Linked DNA regions of Caenorhabditis elegans. The protein of the gene in region 1 purifies or fractionates together with the protein of each later gene. This does not show direct contact. Each region holds a gene or a part of one and is shown in the gene's direction. Other genes may lie near its edges.

Region 1 (7,640 bases):
CCAACATAGATTACGCAGACGACACAGAGTGTGGGCAGTCCGGGGGGCATGTCATCGCAAAACTGCCTGGCCTTTAAGTGAGTGTTTCCTTTTTACGAAGGTTCGGCTTTATAGCAAATCCATTCAAATCCAGAATCTCTCAAGTTTTTAATTAGCTCATCAAAATTACAAAAACTTTGGCCTAGAGTACTTTCAAATTTATCTACGTGATAAACCTCAAGTCTGGGAGGTCGCCAAGTTCCTTGTCTTGGCAAAAAAAACCTGTGAATCAACTTTTCCTGTTGTCGTGTATTCCACGTTGATTTTTTTCCTCTTTGTCCTCTATATCTCCTCCCAATTCTTGGCTTTCCTCCTATGTACTTCGGAAATAGATGTCCACCGCCGCCTCTCCCTCCCCAAAAAAAAGATGAGCTTGAGAAGAGTGAAAACGAGAGAAATATCTTTTCTCACGCAGGGAGCATCAGAGCATAGCAGCAGTTGACGGGAGCCTTTATGTTTTCTATTCCCTTTCTTCATTTTTTTCTTACATTCCAGTTGGTAAATATTGGGTGGAGGTAGGAGAGGGAGAAAGGTAGAGACAGAATGAGATAACAGACTATTCGGTTTACTTATGTTACTTTGTGGCCTAGTTTTGGTGTAGTATTATTATTTTCTTGCAATTAGGGATTTTGCTTTGTTGGAATTTTTGCAACTTCTTGAGTAGTGGGGCCCTTAAGGTTTCAGATAGTACTCAAGTTGTTGATGGAAAATAACAGAAAATTCAAGGAATTTTTGTCCAACTAAGGATCTCGATGGCACCTCAGCATGTGCACTATTTTTCCACAGTGTATGTGTGTGTGTGTAATATAACAAGTCAAAGATCCTATCTCGTTTTCCCTGACAGTTTGGCCTCCTTAGAGTTTACATCTACATCCCTGGTCGGGTGAGAAATCTAAATTTGGGTGAAATTATACCCTTCCGTCCAACTAAACTCCTTGTACACCTTTTTTTATCAAGGTGTAGTCATTTACACCAGACTACACTACGTTCTTCCCTCCCCAGTTCTTGATTACTCGTATTTTGTGTTTCTAGATATTTTTGGCAATTTAAGTTTGGACCAGGGGTGTGCGGCAATCGAAAATTTCCAGCAATCGGCAATTTCGACATTTGCCGGTTGTCAAAATTTTCGGCAATCGGCAATTTCGGCAACTACCGATCTTGGGAATTTTCGGCAATCGGCAATTTCGGCAATTGCCGGTTTTCAAAATTTCAAGGAAGCGAAGTATCTCTGATATCATTTGTCTGAGTAACATTGAGATCATGGGGATCAAATTTTGTTTCACGCACGTTTTCATTCTCTGTGTCTGTCAACATTATTGTACTAGAGAACGCTCAGCACACGATTTTATCACATTTTTCATCTTATCGCATGTTGTTTCCCTGGTTATCATCTGATTTAGGCAAAATAGTTCAATATCTAAATTTAAGCTTCGCGCTAAAAATTATTGTCAATAGAGCGCGTTTGCAGCTAGCCATATTTGTCTCTTTTATTTTATATTAATTTACATGCGAAATTCTCGTTGATTTCCTTGATTTCCTTGAAATCATTTTTTTAGTTTTCAGGCCCTCGTGAATGTCTTTCGATCATCTGTTGACGTCATCAAAACGACGAGAACTCCTACAAAACTTGGGAATCGGACACGGAAGCGATGTGTTCTCCACGGGACTGTTCCGTAAAGCAGAATGCAATGCAGAAACTGCAATTAGTCAAAGATGTAAATATTTAATTTTACAATTAATAAATTATATTTAAGTTATTTATTTTTTTCAGCCATTCCACGAGCGAATCCAGACCATCTTCGTCCGATTTTCGATCGATTCGCGACTAAAGAAATAAAAGGGAAGAAGTTGATGACCCCAGAGGATTTCATTCGAGGATACTTAGGTCTTTACACGGAAGAAAACTATAATAAGGAGACTGTTCGTCTTCTTGCTTCCGCCGCAGACACTACAAAAGATGGAGACATCTCATTCGAAGAGTTCTGCGCTTTTGAAGCTCTCTTGTGCAGCCCGGATGCTCTTTATCTCACCGCTTTCGAACTTTTCGATCGAAACGCTTCGGATACCATTAGCTGTGATGAGTTTGAAGCTGTGATTCGGCATACTCAGCCTTTGCATGATCAGGACTTTGATTTTAGTTCGGAATTCATCAAGAGATATTTTGGAGCGTAAGTTTTTGAGAAATCTCACTGAAAAATATTTATTCAGATTTTCAAATTTTAAATTGCAGCGAAAAAAATATAATTCACTATAAAAATCGATAAAATCAAAATTTTAATTTTAAAAAAAGTTTTTTGGGTTCTTAATTTTTTTGAAAGAACATTTTCAAAATTTTTCAAAATTTTTTTCCTTTTTTTGAACGAAGAACTGAACATTTTTGATTTTCTCTTCAAATGGTGGTGTACTGAAAGCTGAGAAAAATTATTACATGACTATTAAATGGCAAATCTTCCCCTGATCCGAATATCTAAGTGAAAAAATTCAAAAAAAAAACCTCTCTGGCGCGTAAATTCGGCGTTTGAAAAATACCATGGGTGCAAAAATGAAATTCGCGATTTCAAGCAAAAATATAAAATAAGGGAAATTTTTTGAATTTTTTCACTTTGACATTCGGAGTCGGGAGAAAATTTGGAGTTATTTAAAAATATTTCTCAGAATTCGGTACTCCACCTTTAAACTTTTCCCGGTTGGTAAATATATTTTTTTAACTCGAAAACTGCTCCATATTTCCACATATAAAAATTTTAATTATTTCAGTGACAAACAACGAAACGTGAATTATCATTCATTCTGTCAACTTCTTCATGATTTCTACGAAGAACAGGGTATCCAGGCATTCAAAAGATACGATAAAAATGGAAATGGAACCATCTCATCACTGGATTTCCAACAAATAATGACTACTGTCAAAGGACACTTGCTCACGGATTTCGTTCGGCATAACCTCATTGCGGTGTCTGGCGGCGGCGCCAGTGGACACAAGGTGAGAAAAAAACATCTGAATTTAAATTAATTTTGCTTGAAAATTTTCGGAAAAAGTTGGAAATTCTGAAGTATATTCAAAAATGGAAATTGAATTTTGTCATAAATGAAAACGTCGGTCTTTTCAAAAATGACTGGAAACTGATTTTCGAAAAATTCGAAAAATATCAATAAATAAGATATTCTAGATTTCCGAGTGTTTCCCATAATTTTAAAGTAAAATCCTCATTGTTTCTCTGATTTTTGCTCTGGTTTTTAATTATTATTTTACTAATTCTGATTTTCTTTTTTTTTTGAAATAGAATTCCTTAGTATTGGAAGTGAGTTTTCCAAATGTTGTATAGTGGAGTGATATAGCATGTTCATTCGTAGATTCCCAAGTTTTCTAATTTTTTTTGGAAGTGGTTTCCTTCTTTTTCAGTTTTCCGACACTCGAGGTGGATTTGTAAGTTTTCTTTTCTGTCATTTTTTGGGTGTCCTTTGTTTTGGTTTCGTGATTTGTAGGTAGGCCAAACGAAAAATCAGCATGCTATAAAAATTCTTAGTCGATATTGTGTAAGTAATAATTAAACCGCTTAGAAACCATAAATAGAAATGCAACAAAGTACAAACAATTTCGAACAATTTTTTATATTCGGATTTTTAGAAATGTGGTCGAGACAAAATTATTTAAATAAAAAGAGTTAAAAAATATTTTTTTTGCTTTCATTCTTTTTTCAAAATTTCAAAGAAAAAAGCTAAACTCACTTTAGCTATAATCTCAAAACTTTTCAACTTGTTCTAGTGGTCGGAAAATGATTTTTTAAACTACTTAAGAATTTCGCATGTGTTGGTCGATTCGATCTTCGAAAGGTTTTCAGTCGATATACACCCGTTCGGTAACTTGTTGGCTGAAGTTTTTGCGAGCAAGAAAACACACGAGATTCTATGATATTCGGGCTGATTTTTGCATGATTTCTTAAGTTTCCTATGTTCAATGTATGTTTCTTCGTTCTGTCCTGCACCATGTCTTCCTCAAGAAGCCAATACCTCTCCAGAATCTCGATTCAATAAAAACGTTTCAATTTCCAGGTGACCTTCCCTTACTATGCTGCTTTCAACAGTCTTCTCGCCAAAATGGAACTTATCAAGCGTGTCTACGTATCGACGACACGTGGAAATTTGGACATTGAGATGACGAAAGAAGAGTTTCTGCATGCAATTCAAAGTTATACACAAGTTACTCCTTATGAAGTAAGCAGGAAATTCAGATATTCCCAAAAAACCAAAAATTGATTGAAATACGGAATCATCTTTATAAGCAAGGATGTCATTTTTATATTTTCGATGTTTTTCAGGAAAGATCGGAAAATCTAAAATTTTTAGATTTTCTGAAACAATCAAAAAATATAATAAAAATAAAGTTATTTTTAAAGTAATTTTTTAAAATGATTTTTCAATTTTTTCCAGGTCGAAATCCTGTTCCACTTGTCAGAGTTGAATCATCCAGGACGGAAGACGCTCTGTCTAAAGGACATTCAGGCAATTGATCCTGAACGTCTGAAGCGTGTTTCACAAATGGATCGACTTATCAACATCAAAGCTGTGCACCATAAAGATGACAGAGGTGTTGGAACTGCGGTAAGAATTTTTTGGCGCCGGAAATTTGTTTACAACTACCTATATTTAAATTCCTAAAAATTTCATATTGCAGTTCCTCGAATCCGCGTACCGTTTCTTATTAGGATCAGTAGCCGGAGCATGTGGAGCGACTGCAGTGTATCCGATTGATCTTGTGAAGACACGAATGCAAAATCAACGTACATCTGGCTCATTCGTCGGAGAAGTAATGTATAAAAACTCTCTGGATTGCTTCAAGAAAGTCGTGAAGTTCGAAGGACTCTTGGGTCTTTATCGTGGACTTTTGCCTCAAATTGTTGGTGTTGCACCAGAAAAAGCTATCAAATTGACAATGAACGATTATATGAGAGATAAATTCACTAAAGACGGAAAAATTCCACTTTATGGAGAAATTATCGCCGGAGGAACCGGAGGAATGTGCCAAGTTGTGTTCACAAATCCCCTGGAAATTGTTAAAATTCGATTACAAACTGCCGGAGAAGTACAACAAGCGGGAAAGAAGATCGGAGTATTCACGGTTCTTAAAGGTGCAGCATGGTGCATTCTCTGACGCACCACGTTTTCGAGATCTAGTTGCAAACAAAATCTACGAAAAGAAGATCTACCAAAACAAAATCTACGTTTTCGGGATCTGGCGGTGCCAAATCCTAGATCTTCTTTTCGAAGATCTCGTTTTCGACTAGATTTTTAAAACGTGGTGCCTTTTCTTCTGGCAATAAAGACACACAAGAAATCGCATAATACTCAAACTTTTAATTCAGAACTCGGTTTCCTTGGACTCTACAAAGGATCCCGTGCGTGCTTCCTTCGGGATATTCCGTTCTCAGCAATCTATTTCCCGGCATACGCTCACGCAAAACTCGCATCTGCTGATGAAGATGGAATGAACTCACCGGGAACACTTTTTGCTTCCGCGTTTATTGCTGGAGTGCCTGCCGCTGGTTTAGTAACACCTGCCGATGTTATCAAGACTAGGCTTCAAGTAGCTGCACGAGCTGGACAGACGACGTATAATGGAGTCATTGGTACAGTTTTTGCCTAGTTTCTTAGTTACTTACTCTGACAAAAAATTACAGATTGCGCTCGGAAGCTGATCAAAGAAGAGGGTCCAATGTCACTATGGAAGGGTACAGCTGCACGTGTGTGCCGTTCAAGTCCTCAATTCGCAGTTACTCTTCTCACTTACGAGGTTCTCCAGCGCCTCTTCTACGTCGATTTCGCCGGATCCCGGCCGACTGGTTCCGAGCTTGCGACGACGAAGACAATTCAAGACGAGTCGTCAACGAATCCGGATCACGTTGGTGGATACAAGCTGGCGGCAGCTACATTCTCCGGAATCGAACACAAGTTCGGATTGTTCTTGCCAAAGTTCGAAACGAGCAAGTAGAGAGTCCTATATATTCCCCGTAGTCAGTGTGTGTTGTTTTAGGTAAAGTGTTCGATCCTAGTCTTATTTTTGAACTTCTTCTGTATTTTACCTGTACTATGCTGATCAGGGATGAGTATTTTAATTTCACGAAATTTTGAATTTTCAGTATCTGAAAATGTATCGTTAAAAAATTATTTTAATGTGGCTTATACATATTTTGGCGGCGCTCTCATTATAGACATTCGAAAAATATTGAATTTCAGAGGTTTTACGCATCATTTTATGGCCCGATTTTCTGGAATTTAAAATCACGAAATTTCTTGAAAATTGGCTCAAAAAATTATGTGTAAAACCTCTGAAATTCAATATTTTTTAAGGTACTAGTCCTAAATCACCCAGCCACTTTTTCAAATAAAAACGTGTGGAGTTTTTGTATTTTTAGGCTTAGGAAATAACCATTTCTAAGCCTAAAGATGGAAAATGGACATCACGTTTTATTAAAATGGATAATATTAAAATGAGGGGAAATAATACACAAATCGAAAAAAAAGTGGCGGGGTGATTATATGCCAAAATATGTACGAGCCACATTAAAATCATTTATAGCCATACATTTACACCCACTGAAAATTCAAAATTTTCTTGAAATTAAAATGCCCACCCATAATGCTGATCCCCCGCTGCCCTCTCGCCTTCTCACCAGAGATGTGCTGCACCTTTTTTGAAACTTTCGGAAAATTTACAAAATTTTTCTTTTTTCGTTGTTTAGACGAAGTTTTTATTGGAAATTTAAATTATTTTGATTTTGATTGAAAGTGAAAAGTTCCTAAAAAAAAAGTAAAAATATTTCTGTGTTCCAATATAAATTTTCCAATTTTATCAACAAAAAAATGTGCCGCGCCTCTCTTCTCACCATCCCCTAGATTAAATTTTTGCGGGTGACTTTCTCTCCCTTCCCCACCCTCGCCCGTTCTATATATATATTATATACATAAGATTTATTTTCTTAATTTGTCCAAAAAGTGCCTCCCTTTCTGTTTTTCTCAGTTTTTTTTTCTTCAAATTTTGCATAAAAATCGCATTTTTATTTCACTACTACAGGAACACTGGGTTCGGCGCACACACAAAAAAAGAAACCGCTAGACATTCGAGTGGATATTTTTTACACACAAACAATTATTTTCCAATTATTTCGGTGGGCTCAAGTTAGTTTTGACGATGGCAGATGGAGTTGGAGCTGAAAATTTTATTTATTTCTCTCTGATTTTCAGAAATTTCAAGCCTACATTCTTGGAAGGAATACCAAGTTTGTTCAGCATGAGCTCTTCCGGTCTTTGCCACGTCAACAGCCTCTATCGGATAACAAAAGGCGGCCATCGTGGCCAAGCCGATGGTAGTGGTGAGGAGACGTCCGACCGGGCCACGTTTCAGGCCTAAAACGAATCCGGCCATTCCACCAACGGTGATTGCTGCGGCTTTTGGAAGAGCAGTCCATTCTTCTGTCAGATATGCATTGCATTTGGTCGCCGCTTTTTTTGTTTGAGTCATCGCACAATCGACAACTTTGAAGCGTTCCTGAAACAAAAATCGGTGATAAAAATATATTTTTCACAAAATTAGTTTAATTTTT
Region 2 (5,204 bases), on another chromosome or scaffold:
AGATTTTTTTCCTGAAAAAAACGTGAAAAATCAATAAAAATATCACAAAAAGGTCGTAAAATCCTTCAAAAAATCAATAAAAATTGGCAAAAAAAAATCGATAAAAATCTACAAAATTCATATGATTTTAAACACAAAAAAAACGGAGAAAAATCTACTTTTTCGAAAAAAAAAAATTTCAGGCTCTAATTATAGATTTTCAGTCGAATTGTGGCTTCTTTCCTGATATTTTGATTAATTTTAACAAAATTTTCAGATCCAAATCCGTCTGCCAAACAATCAGCGTCTCGTCGGTATTTTTAATCATTCTCACACACTTGAAGCAGTTCGTACATTCATTTGCACGTGAGTTTTCAGCCGGAAAAAGCTATTAAAAACTCTCATTTTTCACTAGAAAAAGTAGATTTTTAGAAAATTTCGAATTAAAAAAATAAAAAAATCATCTAAAAATCACATTTTTAGCCTGAAAAATTCGAAATTTTCCAATGAATAATTATTTTTTAATAATATTTTTCTGATATACACAGTGATAGAAAAATTACATTTTTCAAATTAAAAAATTACATTTTTCAAATTAAAAAATTACATTTTTCTAGTTTTTTCTTTCAAAAAACTCAAATTTTTTTAATTTAAAAATTTTGATTTTCCAGCGCCCGCCCAGATATGATCTACGCTCCATTCCAAATGATGGCTGCCTACCCTCCAAAACCATTTGAAGACGAATCACAGACTCTGAAGGATGCAAATGTGCTCAATTCGGTCGTCGCCGTGAAAATCTTGCCCACCACCAACTGAGGAGATTCCTGACGCTGCTTTTTTGGCGGGAAAATTGAAAATTGAAAATTTCATCTGAAAAAATTTCGAATTTCTACTCGTTTTTACCCCCCAAAACCTCTCAAATTCCCTGAAAATACCTGTATTTTACGCTAAATTATTTGATTTTTTCCCCCCATTTCCCAATATCGTTTTTTTTCTTTCTTCTATCACACTTTAATGCATAAAAAAAGTACACCGTTTTCTGTGAAAAATTGCGGCGATTTTTATTGATTTTTTGTTTTGGAATTTGCGAGTTTTTCAAGCTCTGAAATATTTTTTTTATTTTTTCCAGATTTTCAGAATTTTTCAATTTTTAGTGAAAAATGCACATTTTTTACAAATTTTCCATTAAAAATTCAATTTTAAAGTCAAATTTTGAATTTTTCAGATTTTTTCCCAATTTTTCAGAGAGAAAAATCCTTCTTCTGCGATTTTTTGGTGAAAAATTTAAAGTTTTCAAAAAATGTAAAAATTCACTTTTTTTGTTCCAATTTTCCACTGAAAAATCGATTTTTCCCTGATTTTTTTCAAAAAATTCAAGATTTTTCAGTGAAAAACTCGAAAAATATCATATTTCACAGGAAATATGGAGTTTTTCGCCAAAAAATTTATAAAAAATTTTTTTTTGAAAAAATTCACAAAATGCTTGGTTTTTCCTCCCCACATTCCGTTAAAATTTCCCATTTTTCCAACCAAATTTACATTACAGATGTCCCTGAAAGCGTGGCTGGGAATCGATAAAATCCAAAAGTTTGGCCAAATGGTCAAGGAGATTGGAGGTGTCAAAGCGGTGCTTAAGAAGCGTTATTTGTAAGTTTTCAGGTGGAAAAATGGCTGAAAATGCACTAAATTAGAAGAAAAACGGTCGAAAATTACCTGAAAATCATAAAAATCGAAAAAAAAATCGGTGGCCGAACTTTTCGATTTTCTAGGCCATCAGGTGAAAAGTTAGTCCCCCACACAAAACTGACCTGACCTATCACGCAGAATGTCAAAACAAAATTGGGGGACTAATTTTTCACTTGGTGGCCTAGAAATCCAAAAGTTCGGCCACCGATTTCTGACAAATTTTTAATTTTTTTTTTCGATTTACAACAATCGAATTTTATTTTTTAAAAATACATCAAAAAATTGATGGCCTAACTTTTCGATTTTCTAGGCCGTCATGTGAAAAGTTAGTCCGCGGGTTGATAATCGCTTGAAATCACCTGAAAACGAGCGAAAATCAGCGGGGACTAACTTTTCAGCTGGTGGCCTAGAAAATCGAAAAGTTCGGCCACGAATTTTTTTTTTGAATTTTTCAGTATTAAAAAATTCAAAAAATGTACGAAATTTGTCATGAAATCTGTCAGAAATCGGAGGCTGAACTTTTTTGGATTTCTAGGCCACCAAGTGATAAATTAGTCCCCCAATTTCATTTGGACATCCTGCGCGATACGTCAGGTCAATTTTGTGTGGGGGACTAACTGTTCACCTGATGGCCTAGAAAATCGAAAAGTTCGGCCACCGTTTTTTTTTTAATGAGTTTTATGCCAATTTTACACTATTTTCGCTTAATTTCATCAAAATTTCGGTTGAAAAATTGAATTTTTCGAATGACTCGCGTCGGAAAAATGACCGGAGAAACATAAAAAACCGAAAAAAAAATCGGTGGCCGAACTTTTCGATTTTCTAGACCAGCGAGTGAAAAGTTAGTCCGCGCGGGCTTATAATCGCTTAAAATCACCTGAAAACGAGCGAAAATCGATGGGGACTAACTTTTCACATGGTGGCCTAGAAAATCGAAAAGTTCGGCCACCGATTTCTTTTGTTTTTTAATGATGATTTTTAGGCCAATTTTACACCATTTTCGCTCAATTTACATAAAAATCTTCTCAAATTTTCAGAATGGACGCGACCCGCGTCGGAACACTCGTCGGTTCGGACAATTTCGGCAATCGTTACTACGAGAATAACGCGTATTTCGTGCCACGCAACCGTTGGGTCGAGTTTCCCGACAAAGTTTGGCTCGACTATGATGCGACTCAAGTGCCACCGGAATGGTACGCAAAAAAATGACGACGAAAAATGAACAATTTTGCTGTTTTTTACACGAAAAATGGCCTAGATCGGCCTAAAATGGCCTAGAAATGGCCTAGAAAATGGCCTAGAATGGCCTAGACAAATACAAATAAAAATAGATGACATAAAAATCATGAAAATCGAAAAAAAAATCGGTGGCCGAACTTTTGGGTTTCTAGGCCACCAGGTGAAAAGTTAGTTCCACCACTCAAATTTGGCCCAAATCACTCAAAATGTCCGGAAAACATGGTGGACTAACTTTTCACCTGGTGGCCTAGAAATCCGAAAGTTCGGTCACCGATTTTCAAGCCTAATTTTCGTGTAAAAATGCGCAAAATTGTTCATTTTTTCATCATTTTCTTTAATTTTCCAGGCACTCTTGGCTCCACCACATCACCGATGATGCTCCATCGGTGAAGCCACCACCAACTCAGGATTGGGTACTCGAACATAAGGAGAACACCAGTATCTACGCGTAGGTTTTCGACGGAAAATTGGATTTTTAGACGAATTTCAATGAAAAAATCAAGAAAAACGGTGAAAAATGGCCTAAAAATCATGAAAATTGAGAAAAACAAAGTTGGTGGCCGAACTTTTTGGATTTCTAGGCCACCAATTTTTTTTTCTTAATTGCCGTAAATTTTTAAGAAAAGACATCACGGGGACTAGTTTTCCACCTGGATGGCCTGAAAGTCGTCAAATTTTGAAAAAAAAAAAGTTGGTGGCCGAACTTTTCATTTTCTAGGCCATCATTTTTTCGGACGTTTTTCGCCTATTTTTGGTCAATTTTCGCAGATTCTTGAACAAAAAATATCCCGGAGACTAGTTTTCCACCTGGATGGCCTAGAAATCGTAAAATTTTAAAAAAAAAGTTGGTGGTCGAGCTTTTTGGTTTCCTAGGCCACCAATTTTTCTAACGGTTTTCGGCCATTTTTCTTGTTTTTTAAAGTCAATTTTTCACAAAAAACATCCCGGGGACTAATTTTCCACTCACATGGCCTAGAAATCGTAAAATTTTCAAACAAAAAAATGGTGACCGAACTTTTTGGTTTTCTAGGCCGCCATCTTTTTCTAACGGTTTTCGGCCATTTTTCTTGTTTTTTAAAATCAATTTTTCACAAAAAACATCCCGGGGACTAGTTTTTCACTCACATGGCCTAGAAGTCGTCAAGTTTCGAAAAAAAAGTTGGTGGCCGAACTTTTTGGTTTTCTAGGTCAACAATTTTTTTCAATTTTTAAACGATTTCCAGCTGTTTTAGCTCGAGTTTCATATTTTTTTGGTCAATTTTTCCGCAAAAAACAGCTCGGGGACTCAAGAAATTGGTGGCCGAACTTTTTGAGTTTTCTAGGCCACCAATTTTTTTTTTCAATTTTTAACGGTTTCCAGCTGTTTTAGCTCGAGTTTCACATTTTTTTGGTCAATTTTTCCGCAAAAAACAGCTCGGGGACTCAAGAAATTGGTGGCCGAACTTTTTGGTTTTCTAGGCCACCATCTTTTTCTAACGGTTTTCGGCCATTTTTCTTGTTTTTTAAAGTCAATTTTTCACAAAAAACATCCCGGGGACTAGTTTTCCACTCACATGGCCTAGAAAACCCCTAAATTCCCAATTTTTCAGCGACAAAAAGTACGTTCCATACTCGACAACTCGTACCAAAATTCAAGGATGGCAACCAGGAGAGAAGCCACAATTCGACTGAAAATCTATAATTAGAGCCCCTGAAATTTTTTTTTTCGAAAAAGTAGATTTTTCTCCGTTTTTTTGTGTTTAAAATCATATGAATTTTGTAGATTTTTATCGATTTTTTTGCCAATTTTTATTGATTTTTTGAAGGATTTTACGACCTTTTTGTGATATTTTTATTGATTTTTCACGTTTTTTTCAGAAAAAAAATCTGATTTTTTCCCAGAAAATGAGCGTCGGAGAGCAGAAAAGCGTCCTGATGGTGTGTTTAGGTACGGTTTTTAGGTGAAAAATAGGTGGCCGAGGTTTGGGTTTCTAGGCCAGCAATTTTTTATTTGGAAAATTGACGAAAAAACGGTCAAATTTGCGCGAAAAAAATTGGTGGCCGACTTTTTAAAAAATTTAGGCCACCGATTTTTTTTCGGGTTTCCCATCGAATAATTAGTAATTCAGCACATTTTTGTGAAAAATTGGAAGAAAATAAAATTTTAAAAGTCGATGGCCGAACTTTTGAATTTCTAGGCCACCAACTGAGATGTTAGTCCACAAGCGTCTTCTTGCCATTTTGAATTGTGACTAGCTATTTTCAGATGGGCTGGACTAACTTTTCACTTGATGGCCTAGAAATCCAAAAGTTCGGCCACC
Region 3 (5,161 bases), on another chromosome or scaffold:
AAAACTCCCACGACATTGTTGAATGTAATTTGATAGGGTCCCAACACGTCTCTTTTTCTTCCCACTTTCTACGATAACTGAAAAGTCATGTACCCATTTGTTTAATACCTGATACTCTTGACCTTCTCCCTACTGGTAGCTCTTGATCTCTATCCTGTCTTGTTACTCTCAAGTGGTGGTGTCAACGATCCTTTAAAGCTTCATTAATTAATTGAGTATAAAGTCACGTGAAAATGTGAAAAACCTAATTTCCCCTCTCGGTTTCCTGTTAGTTTTTGTCCTCCTACAACTACTCCACGAGCACGCAGCTTCCCGATTGGTTCAACGAGAGCCAACGTAAGATTGTGGTGTTTGTCAACTTGAACTACACTGAATTTCTTGCATCATCATCATCCCAATACAGTTCTTACGAACGTCTGTCTAAACGCAATTTCAGCCAATTTTCAGCCAATCACCAGTGCTCCCCCCTCGCTTGCATTGCATTGTCCATTGTTTTGTCAGTGACCATTCACAACAAAAGTTGTAATGTGTTCGTCTCCGCGTGTCGGTGTCATTTCCTATCATCATTTCTCTAATTTCAATCCCAGAAAAGAGGTCCGATTGTCAGATAGTGTCAATCACTGGTAACTTGTCGGTACTTTGTCTTCTGCCTTCAGCTCGCCGTGTCGCATTGTTTATGCGCATTCAGGCCAACTGACTCCAGGCTGGCAACAAGTTTTGAATATCCGCCGGAATCTCCAAAGCCCAGGTCGCCAGATGTGCTACATTCTCGGGTGTGGTGGTTTGGTTTTACGATGTCGCACAGTGTGCAATGCGTCAAATCTCCCAGTCACTTTGATGCGAATAATTGCTGCGTTCACGCTCTCTGTATTTTGAATTTTTTGCAAATCAAGCTACAAAGTGGATTTTTTTTTCAATCATCGAATCCAAATGAAGTTCACATTTTCATAAAATAAGCTGATCAGTTAATGAAATTGGCAGCTAATAATTGAATTTAAATCTTCCTTCTACATTTGGTAAATGCATTATTTCCTCTATTAGTATTACACCCATTCTTTCAACTTGAAATTTGATTTCAAAAATATCAATTACTAAATGTATTTATATATAGCGCTCATTCCGTGTGTTCATAGTTTGTAGACTATGTAGTTTTTGAAAGAAATTAGTTGACGTTGTGATTAGTGAATTATTAGGGTGAGGATCGGGGTGCGGTAGTGTGTAGTACTGTGTAGTACTGATACTGTAGTGTACTGTAGAATTACTGTAGTTCTGCATGATAGATGTACTGTAGTAGTACGATAAAATACAGCGAAAGTACTCTGTAGGGACACTAGTTTGTTGAAAAAATTTCAGCTGATTCGGCTGTCGCTGGTCAATTAATAGCTAATCACAAAACTATATAAAAATGATTGAAAAATATTGTTTTAGTTGATAATTCAAATATGAGCATCTAAAGTTGAGCAACACTAATAGAAACAATTCGGTTGAGATAATAAAAGTATGAGAAATTTCTTTCAACACTTTTTTTTGAAAGATTTTTGATCTTGTCCATCAAGTTCATTATTTCGCAATTTTGTTCTATCATTGCTAAAAAGTAACCTCTGTTCGCCGCCCACCCAGATTTATCAGCTCAACACTAGACAGCGGGTGCAAGTTGTTTTTGTCAACGGCCCCCGGGATCATTGTCACCCTCCCACTGTTTTCGTCATTTCTCAACATAAAACGTAGTTTTACGGTCTCCTTTCAGTGTGTTCTGAACAGTTTTCATGTTTAAATCGTTTCTGCAAATAATGCTTTACGTCATAATATGTAGAATACATTAATTCTCAAGCACTTTCGTTTCATTTTTTATCAGTGAGTTTTCAAATTAAAAATTAATTTCTAAATTCTTTCAGCTCCTTGGTTAGGTAATTTCCAACTTCTTCTGTCGAACGCCGATTATAGAAAAGCGATCGAAATCATGAAATTGTTTATTATCCTGTTGATTCTTGCGAAAGTCGCGTACACTGTAAGTTTACGTTTTTTTCTTTTTACAGCAGAAATATTTGATGTTTTGTGATCAGAGAACCATCTCTAACATAATTACACGTTCCGATACAATAATTCCCTTATCAGTTGTATCAACTAGGCAAATTGAAAATGCAAAACTCAAAAGGTCTAAATACTCTAAACAAAATTTCAACTTTCAGAAATTCCATTGCCAAAGTGGGCTAAGACGAGTGACTGAGGTAAGTCTTTCAAAGGTCCATAATGAATAAATTCGTAGTTACCACAACAGCGGCAATTGCTCCTTTCTATTGTACTTTGTGTACTGCCCACTCACTTCCGCTCACAGATTAGATAATTGTGTAGTACTATAAATGTTTTTGGTGTAGTGAACGAATCGCTATGTAATTATTATCCGAAAAGGCATGTATACACACCATTTTATTGAACAAGTACCAGTCAATTTCTCGGTTCACTGAACTTGACCTCATCAAGCCAAACTATGAAATTAAGTGAATAAGTACAACGGATCTGGAAAATATATACCCAGTTTAGGGACAGAGGTTGAAATACATTTTCAGATTGGATTGATCGAGAAATGCCTGACAAAAGCAGAATGTTCCGGAATGCCACAGTGTTCGGATACTGTTCTTGTAAGTTCCCGGTTATCTAGCATCAGTTTTCAATTTTGATTTTCAGGGCGGATGTTGCTGCTTGGAAAATAAGAACTGTCTTCTCACTCGTGCACGCAGGCATTTAAAAAGGTATACATATACTTCAGATTTTGCAAAATCAAAAACAACATCTCTATTTTCAGCACAACCCCAGCTACAGATGATGACGATTCTGAAGAGGAAACCACAACAGTGAAATCTCACAAGAAAAAGTCCACAAAAACTACCGATGCTCCAAAAACCACAGAGGAACCAGCTAGCACCAAGAAATCCGAGAAGAAAAAGACTGAATCGAAAAAGGCTGTCAAAACGACCACAACAGCCGCTCCTGCTGAAAGTGCCGAGACTGAAACCCCATCGTCTGAAGAAAATAAGACGACGGAAGAAGAGTCTGGAAATGTATCTGCCGAGGAGGTCACTACTACATCTTCTACAGAAGTCTCGGTTGAAGAGGAGCAAACAGTGAAGTCTACGGAAGCATCTACCGAAGAAGAGAAGTCTACTGAAGCATCGGAGGAGGCTACTACCACTAGTTCGGAAACATCTGAGACCACCGAGGAAAGTGAGGAAGAAGAGACCACCACAAAGCCTGCAAAGACCCACAAGTCTTCAAAGACCACTACCACCACGACTGAAGCATCAACAAAGAAGGACTCTAAGAAGTCTCACAAAAAGACTAAGGAGGAAAAGGTTACCACAACCCCAGAACCATCAACGGAAGAATCATCGGAATCACCAGAGACTAGCGAGGAGCCACAGTCATCGGAATCCACACCAACGTCTGAAGAATCCACAGAACAATCTACAGAGAAGCCGAAGAAGGAGGACAAGAAGGACAAAAAAGACAAAAAGGACAAGAAACAAAAGAAGGAAGACAGCGAAGAAGATGACGATGATAAGAAGAGCAAATCCTCGTCTTCGTCCGATTCAAAGACCGACGAAAAATCGACTTCAGAATCTGATTCTTCATCGGAAGCTTCATCTGAGAAGACTGTCGAGGGCACTAAGAAGACATTGTTCTCCGGACCACCAGACTCTGATGAGGATGATGATGATGAAGGAGCAGGAGCTGATGAAGCATTCTTCTCTGAGAAACAAGCTACCGAGGCACCAGCCGAGCTCTCCAGAACTACTACTATGGCTGTGAAGAGCAAGGTTTGTAATGATAAAAAATATGAAAAAAAGAAGTTATTTCCAGAAAATGAAGAAGTCTGAGAGTGGATTCAATTTCATCCCGTTGGTCATTGCTGGTTTCGTTTTCTCTGGATTGGTTGGAGCCGGAGTTTACATGTTTAACAAAAAGTAATTAAATTTACCGATTAACATATCTAAAACAAATTTTAATTACAGGAAGGAGGAAAGAGAAAACTTGTCGACGGTTGATGAGAAAGAGCTGACCACGATTGCTCCTCTTCTTGAGGATCAGAAGGAGTCCGCCGAAGTCGACAGTGCTCCAGCTGCAGGGGGAAGAAAAGATGAGGATGACGAGTAGATTTCTAAGACCGCCGAATAACAACATTACATCGTATTCATCTTTTCTTTTTCAATTATGGTCTCGTTTTCTCACTCCCATCACATTTTCAGTTTTTGTCTTTTTATGAATTTTGAATTTTAAATTTTAAAGTTTAAATTTTGGATTATAATTTTCAGTTAAACTCTTTATTCTAATAATTGCAGTTATTATTCATTTTCATCCATCTTCTTCTCCTCCTCCTTTTTTACTTGTAAAACTGTTCACCCACACTCTTCACTGTCATTTTCCACTCCTCCTTCGCTTTGTCTCTTATAGGTATACAATTTTCCGACGAATTGCAGTTGTGACTTCGCGGGAATCTTTTTTTGTGTCGTTCTTACACGTTTTTAGTTTCTCTCCATGATTCATAAATTCGAGATTTTTTTCGTACCATGATGATAATAATTAATCTGATGCTGTACTATATTTGGTCTTTTTCTGATTTTCAATAAATTAAATCTTCAACAAAGATCACTAGATCCTTTCTCTTTCATAAATTCTTCGATGAGGACAAACAAATAAAAAATAAAATTTTCGAAAATGAAGATATCCGGAATTCCGCAGATTCAGCTATGTCAAACTTGCTCAACCTACTTTGAAAATAATTTAGGATTCACGTCAATTATTTACCAACTGAACCGAACAGCATAAATCAATACTGCCACAAATGTTGAATTTTTGTAAGTCAACATTTTGGTAAATTGGCAAATTCTCCAAAATTCCACTTGTAGGGCATTAAAAAATTGTGGAAATTTATTTAAAAAATTACAAATTGTGGCAAATCGTGATAGAAGAAAACTGAGTTTTTACTATTTTTTGGATTTAAATTTTAAAAAAATTAAAAAAAGGTTTTGATTCCTAGGAGCGGTTTCAAACTATTTTCCTCACTGACGATACTTTGCGTTTTCAGCGATTGCCAACTTTGAAATATTGCTACATTGCGAAAACTTTCCTGAATTAAGGAGACGTATAAAAGCTCTCAAATCTG
Region 4 (4,051 bases), on another chromosome or scaffold:
ACGGGCCTCAATCATCCTAACTCTCATGTTGAAATACTCTTGGGGGTCAGAAGGATCCGCCTCTCGCACAACTTTTGGAGCATCAGCGACGGCAACATTCAGCTTAGCAGCATCCTTCTCCAGACGTTCTTGTTCCTTCTTGGCTTGCTTGGCGAGCCTCTTCTGCTCACTGAAAGAAACATTATTGATCAATGGTGCTGGTTGTCACAAAATCTGAGGACACGTCGACTAACCGAGTGTTTTGGCTCAGAAAAACTGACGTCCCGAAAAATGAAGACGACCTACGTCGCAAGAATGAAACAGCCGATCGGCTCAACATCGAATGAGACACGATCATCATTTTTCTCACTTACTTCTTACTCAATTTGGCCTCTGGCTCGCTCATTGCCCTGTGACAGTGCTTGAAAGTGGCTGAAAAATAATAATCAATTAATTTAAGAAAAATTGCATGGAATTATGGAAATAAAGCAGAAAACGGAACAATTCAACTCATGTTTTTAGAAAATCCTAAAACTAAAGCGAAATATCTCAGTCTGAAGATTAGGGAAATTAAGACACACTTGACGCATTTTTATTGTTGTCTCAGATAAGTTTGTATCGGAATTATGGACAAAAAGCGAAAAATCTAAATGAAAATGAGCTGAAAACATCTCAAAATGCATTTTAAAATGCTCAATTCCTCCCAAATTTTGTAGCGTTCGGACATTGGCTTTAGAGCGCGTTTGTATTTAATGAGGAAACGGAAAACGGAGGAAAGAAATTTAGAGATTCGATGGTAGTTTTTGGAAGGCTATCTTTATTATTTAACTCAAAAAGTTATTCAAAGCTTTAAAATAATATTTTCAATATTTTAAGCAAAGTTTTTATTAACGCATTCAATGGATAAAACGCGCATGAATGAAGCAGCATTTCTACGGAATACATTTCTCCAGTGTCGGTAGTGTCTCCAATTTAGAACTTTCCAAAGTTCATTCAACCATAAGCTAGTAATTTAATTTTTGTTTTGTTTTATTTATAAAGCACAAAGCTTATCAGAGTTGCGTTTTCTTGTTTAATCTGATGGAAAGTGTTGCAATATTTGTTGTGAAATCATTTGTTTTAGTTAAAAAAATATCAGTAAGAAAACTGATTATTCGAAATGGAGCATTTTAAAATTGTTAGGCGAATATTGAATTGTTGATTAAAATATATATCAAACTTTTAAAAATCGCGTTTGATGTTCATAATTTTTAGGCTGTAAATCTAATTTATGATTATCTCCCCTATTGTAGCACTTTAGGTGTTAGAAAATGGCAGTTCAGAGACAGTTCAACGTTTTTGCATCGAAATGTTGTGTAATGATAGTTTATATTGTCATCATCATTTGATCTTAGATATATGAACATTGCTCTCACTCTCTTTCTTTACTGTCTCCAGTGTGATGTCACAGAAGAACAGTTGACTTTCAATTGCACGTGGGAACTCTTGAAAAGCAAGTGCAACTCCTGTATGAAAGAATCAAGGAGCTCCTAGGAGTATCGAAACCGCCAAAGTTCACAGCTACACGTAACTAATCTCAATTCTTTTATGAGAACGACAAAACCTTATTAGCACTACTTTTGACTAGAAAATCTATATCTCTCTTTCCTTCTTTTTTTTTACAGAAAGTGCAATTTCGCTCCACCGCCGTACTAGCTTTTCTATTTAACCATCATAATCTTTCCTTTCTTCTGTTCTGTCTCTCATTCATCTCGATCCGAACGAATTTCTTCATTCTCTTATCTTATTTTCAAAAACAAGTTGTGTCGAGTCAATTCTTTTTTTTTTCAGAATGTTGTCATCGTCTGGACACGCAATTCGCCGCGGAATCACCACATCTGCTGCACTATCAAACAAACATGCTTTCATCGTCGGAGCCGCCCGTACACCTATTGGATCATTTCGTTCTTCTCTCTCTTCGGTAACTGCTCCAGAGCTCGCCTCGGTTGCCATCAAAGCAGCATTGGAGCGTGGAGCAGTGAAGCCGAGTTCAATTCAGGAGGCGAGTGTGTTCTTTGTTTGCATTTTTCTATACTAGTAATATCTGAAATTCTATATCACTTCCAAAAACTACCGATTTAATCTTAAAATGCCTCAATTTCAGGTGTTCCTTGGTCAAGTCTGTCAAGCAAATGCTGGTCAAGCTCCCGCTCGTCAAGCAGCTCTTGGAGCCGGACTCGATCTTTCGGTTGCTGTTACCACCGTCAATAAAGTGTGCTCTTCTGGGCTGAAAGCAATCATTCTTGCTGCCCAGCAAATTCAAACCGGTCATCAAGATTTTGCCATTGGCGGAGGAATGGAGAGCATGTCACAAGTACCATTTTATGTTCAAAGAGGAGAGATCCCATATGGTGGATTTCAAGTGATTGTGAGTTTAATTTATTTTTCTAAAAAATATTAAATTGTCTAAAAATAGTCTTTAAACTTCTTTAAAAGAAATCAATGCTCACATTTTCTTATTCAGGATGGAATCGTCAAAGACGGACTGACCGATGCTTATGATAAAGTTCACATGGGAAACTGCGGAGAGAAGACTTCAAAAGAAATGGGAATTACACGTAAAGACCAAGACGAATATGCTATCAACAGCTACAAAAAGTCAGCTAAAGCATGGGAGGTTTGTCAACTGATTGCTCTTTGTGCGTTTTATGATTCCATGTTGTTTAGAATGGAAATATCGGACCAGAAGTGGTGCCAGTGAACGTCAAATCAAAGAAGGGAGTCACGATTGTTGATAAAGATGAAGAGTTCACAAAAGTCAATTTCGACAAGTTCACCTCGCTGAGAACTGTTTTCCAGAAAGGTTTGTACTATTCTTATCGTGAAAATTGAAATCAACATAATATATTAAGACGGAACTATCACTGCTGCTAATGCTTCAACATTGAACGACGGTGCAGCTGCTGTCATTGTTGCCTCACAGGAAGCAGTTTCCGAGCAAAGCTTAAAGCCTCTGGCCCGAATTTTGGCTTATGGAGATGCCGCCACGCACCCACTCGATTTCGCTGTAGCACCAACTTTGATGTTCCCAAAAATTCTTGAAAGAGCAGGAGTGAAGCAATCAGATGTTGCTCAATGGGAAGTTAATGAAGCCTTCTCATGTGTTCCCCTTGCTTTCATCAAAAAACTAGGAGTCGATCCATCCCTTGTGAACCCACATGGAGGAGCTGTTTCAATTGGTCACCCCATCGGGTATGTTGCCATATCAGTTGACCGTTCTTTCCGCATTCTTATCGTAAATTTGTTATCGATTATTTTTCTTTCAGAATGTCCGGAGCCCGCCTCATCACTCATCTTGTGCACACACTCAAAAGTGGCCAAATCGGAGTTGCTGCCATTTGCAATGGAGGTGGTGGCTCAAGTGGAATGGTTATCCAGAAATTATAGATTTATAATTTAACTTTTTTCGTTTAAAGTTTGTTACCTTTTTTCACGATTAGCTTGTATTTATGTATTTTTCGCTCATATCGAAACTCCGGTAAATAGATTCATTTATTATTTTGATTATCTACTTCTCTTTCATTGGTTTCAAACCAATTTCAGTTATCTTTTTTTATTCGTATGCGATTTTTCTAATAATCCAAAGTTCAGACAGTCTATCGCAATGTCGGATAAAAAAGTTTTCATTCTGAGTGGAGCTCGCACTCCCATCGGAGCTTACCGAGGATCTTTCGCTAACTTTGGCGCAGTTGAGCTCGGAACGGTCGCTGCAAAGGCAGCAATTGAACGATCAGGTTAAATTACTGATAATGAAATTTTGAAACAAATATTAAATATTTTTAGGAGTTGCTCCGGAGAAAATCGAAGAAGTAATTGGTGGATGCGTACTTCCGGCCGGTCTAGGACAAAATGTGACCCGACAGATCTCTTTGTCGGCTGGTCTTCCAGTAACAACGCAAGCTGTTACGGTGAACAAGGTTTGCTCTTCTTCGATGAAAGCCTTGGTGACAGCAGCTGTGGAAATCAAAGCAGGATATTATGACACTATTCTTGTTGTTGGAACTGAAAATATGAGTCAAGTTCCATTTTACGT

Evidence for each region.
Region 2: the proteins of K02F3.2 (region 1) and ndua-12 fractionate together in Caenorhabditis elegans (co-fractionation; one large-scale study listed by BioGRID). This does not show direct contact.
Region 3: the proteins of K02F3.2 (region 1) and ZC449.5 fractionate together in Caenorhabditis elegans (co-fractionation; one large-scale study listed by BioGRID). This does not show direct contact.
Region 4: the proteins of K02F3.2 (region 1) and kat-1 fractionate together in Caenorhabditis elegans (co-fractionation; one large-scale study listed by BioGRID). This does not show direct contact.

The regions. Positions count from the first base shown.
Region 1 is NC_003281.10:844,249-851,888, forward strand, and holds K02F3.2 (putative calcium-binding mitochondrial carrier K02F3.2), read left to right. Parts: upstream 1-1,612; coding exon 1,613-1,754; intron 1,755-1,810; coding exon 1,811-2,207; intron 2,208-2,796; coding exon 2,797-3,022; intron 3,023-3,442; coding exon 3,443-3,466; intron 3,467-4,092; coding exon 4,093-4,254; intron 4,255-4,470; coding exon 4,471-4,641; intron 4,642-4,714; coding exon 4,715-5,168; intron 5,169-5,402; coding exon 5,403-5,666; intron 5,667-5,717; coding exon 5,718-6,028; 3' UTR 6,029-7,096; downstream 7,097-7,640. Other genes in the region: moma-1 (MICOS complex subunit MIC27), read right to left, coding at 7,198-7,247, 7,297-7,585. UniProt on the Caenorhabditis elegans protein: Mitochondrial and calcium-binding carrier that catalyzes the calcium-dependent exchange of cytoplasmic glutamate with mitochondrial aspartate across the mitochondrial inner membrane.
Region 2 is NC_003282.8:2,716,156-2,721,359, reverse strand, and holds ndua-12 (putative NADH dehydrogenase [ubiquinone] 1 alpha subcomplex subunit 12), read left to right. Parts: upstream 1-1,525; coding exon 1,526-1,626; intron 1,627-2,702; coding exon 2,703-2,858; intron 2,859-3,250; coding exon 3,251-3,352; intron 3,353-4,493; coding exon 4,494-4,575; 3' UTR 4,576-4,673; downstream 4,674-5,204. Other genes in the region: ubxn-2 (UBX domain-containing protein 2), read left to right, coding at 257-345, 651-795; Y94H6A.7 (Low molecular weight phosphotyrosine protein phosphatase), read left to right, coding at 4,789-4,831. UniProt on the Caenorhabditis elegans protein: Accessory subunit of the mitochondrial membrane respiratory chain NADH dehydrogenase (Complex I), that is believed not to be involved in catalysis. Complex I functions in the transfer of electrons from NADH to the respiratory chain.
Region 3 is NC_003284.9:5,034,508-5,039,668, reverse strand, and holds ZC449.5 (Proteoglycan 4), read left to right. Parts: upstream 1-1,895; 5' UTR 1,896-1,960; coding exon 1,961-2,008; intron 2,009-2,189; coding exon 2,190-2,228; intron 2,229-2,567; coding exon 2,568-2,639; intron 2,640-2,685; coding exon 2,686-2,750; intron 2,751-2,803; coding exon 2,804-3,815; intron 3,816-3,858; coding exon 3,859-3,962; intron 3,963-4,010; coding exon 4,011-4,152; 3' UTR 4,153-4,639; downstream 4,640-5,161.
Region 4 is NC_003280.10:7,072,005-7,076,055, forward strand, and holds kat-1 (Acetyl-CoA acetyltransferase homolog, mitochondrial), read left to right. Parts: upstream 1-1,809; 5' UTR 1,810-1,810; coding exon 1,811-2,020; intron 2,021-2,122; coding exon 2,123-2,386; intron 2,387-2,482; coding exon 2,483-2,635; intron 2,636-2,685; coding exon 2,686-2,821; intron 2,822-2,870; coding exon 2,871-3,210; intron 3,211-3,284; coding exon 3,285-3,405; 3' UTR 3,406-3,507; downstream 3,508-4,051. Other genes in the region: kars-1 (Lysine--tRNA ligase), read right to left, coding at 1-169, 234-337; T02G5.7 (Acetyl-CoA C-acetyltransferase), read left to right, coding at 3,623-3,752, 3,802-4,051.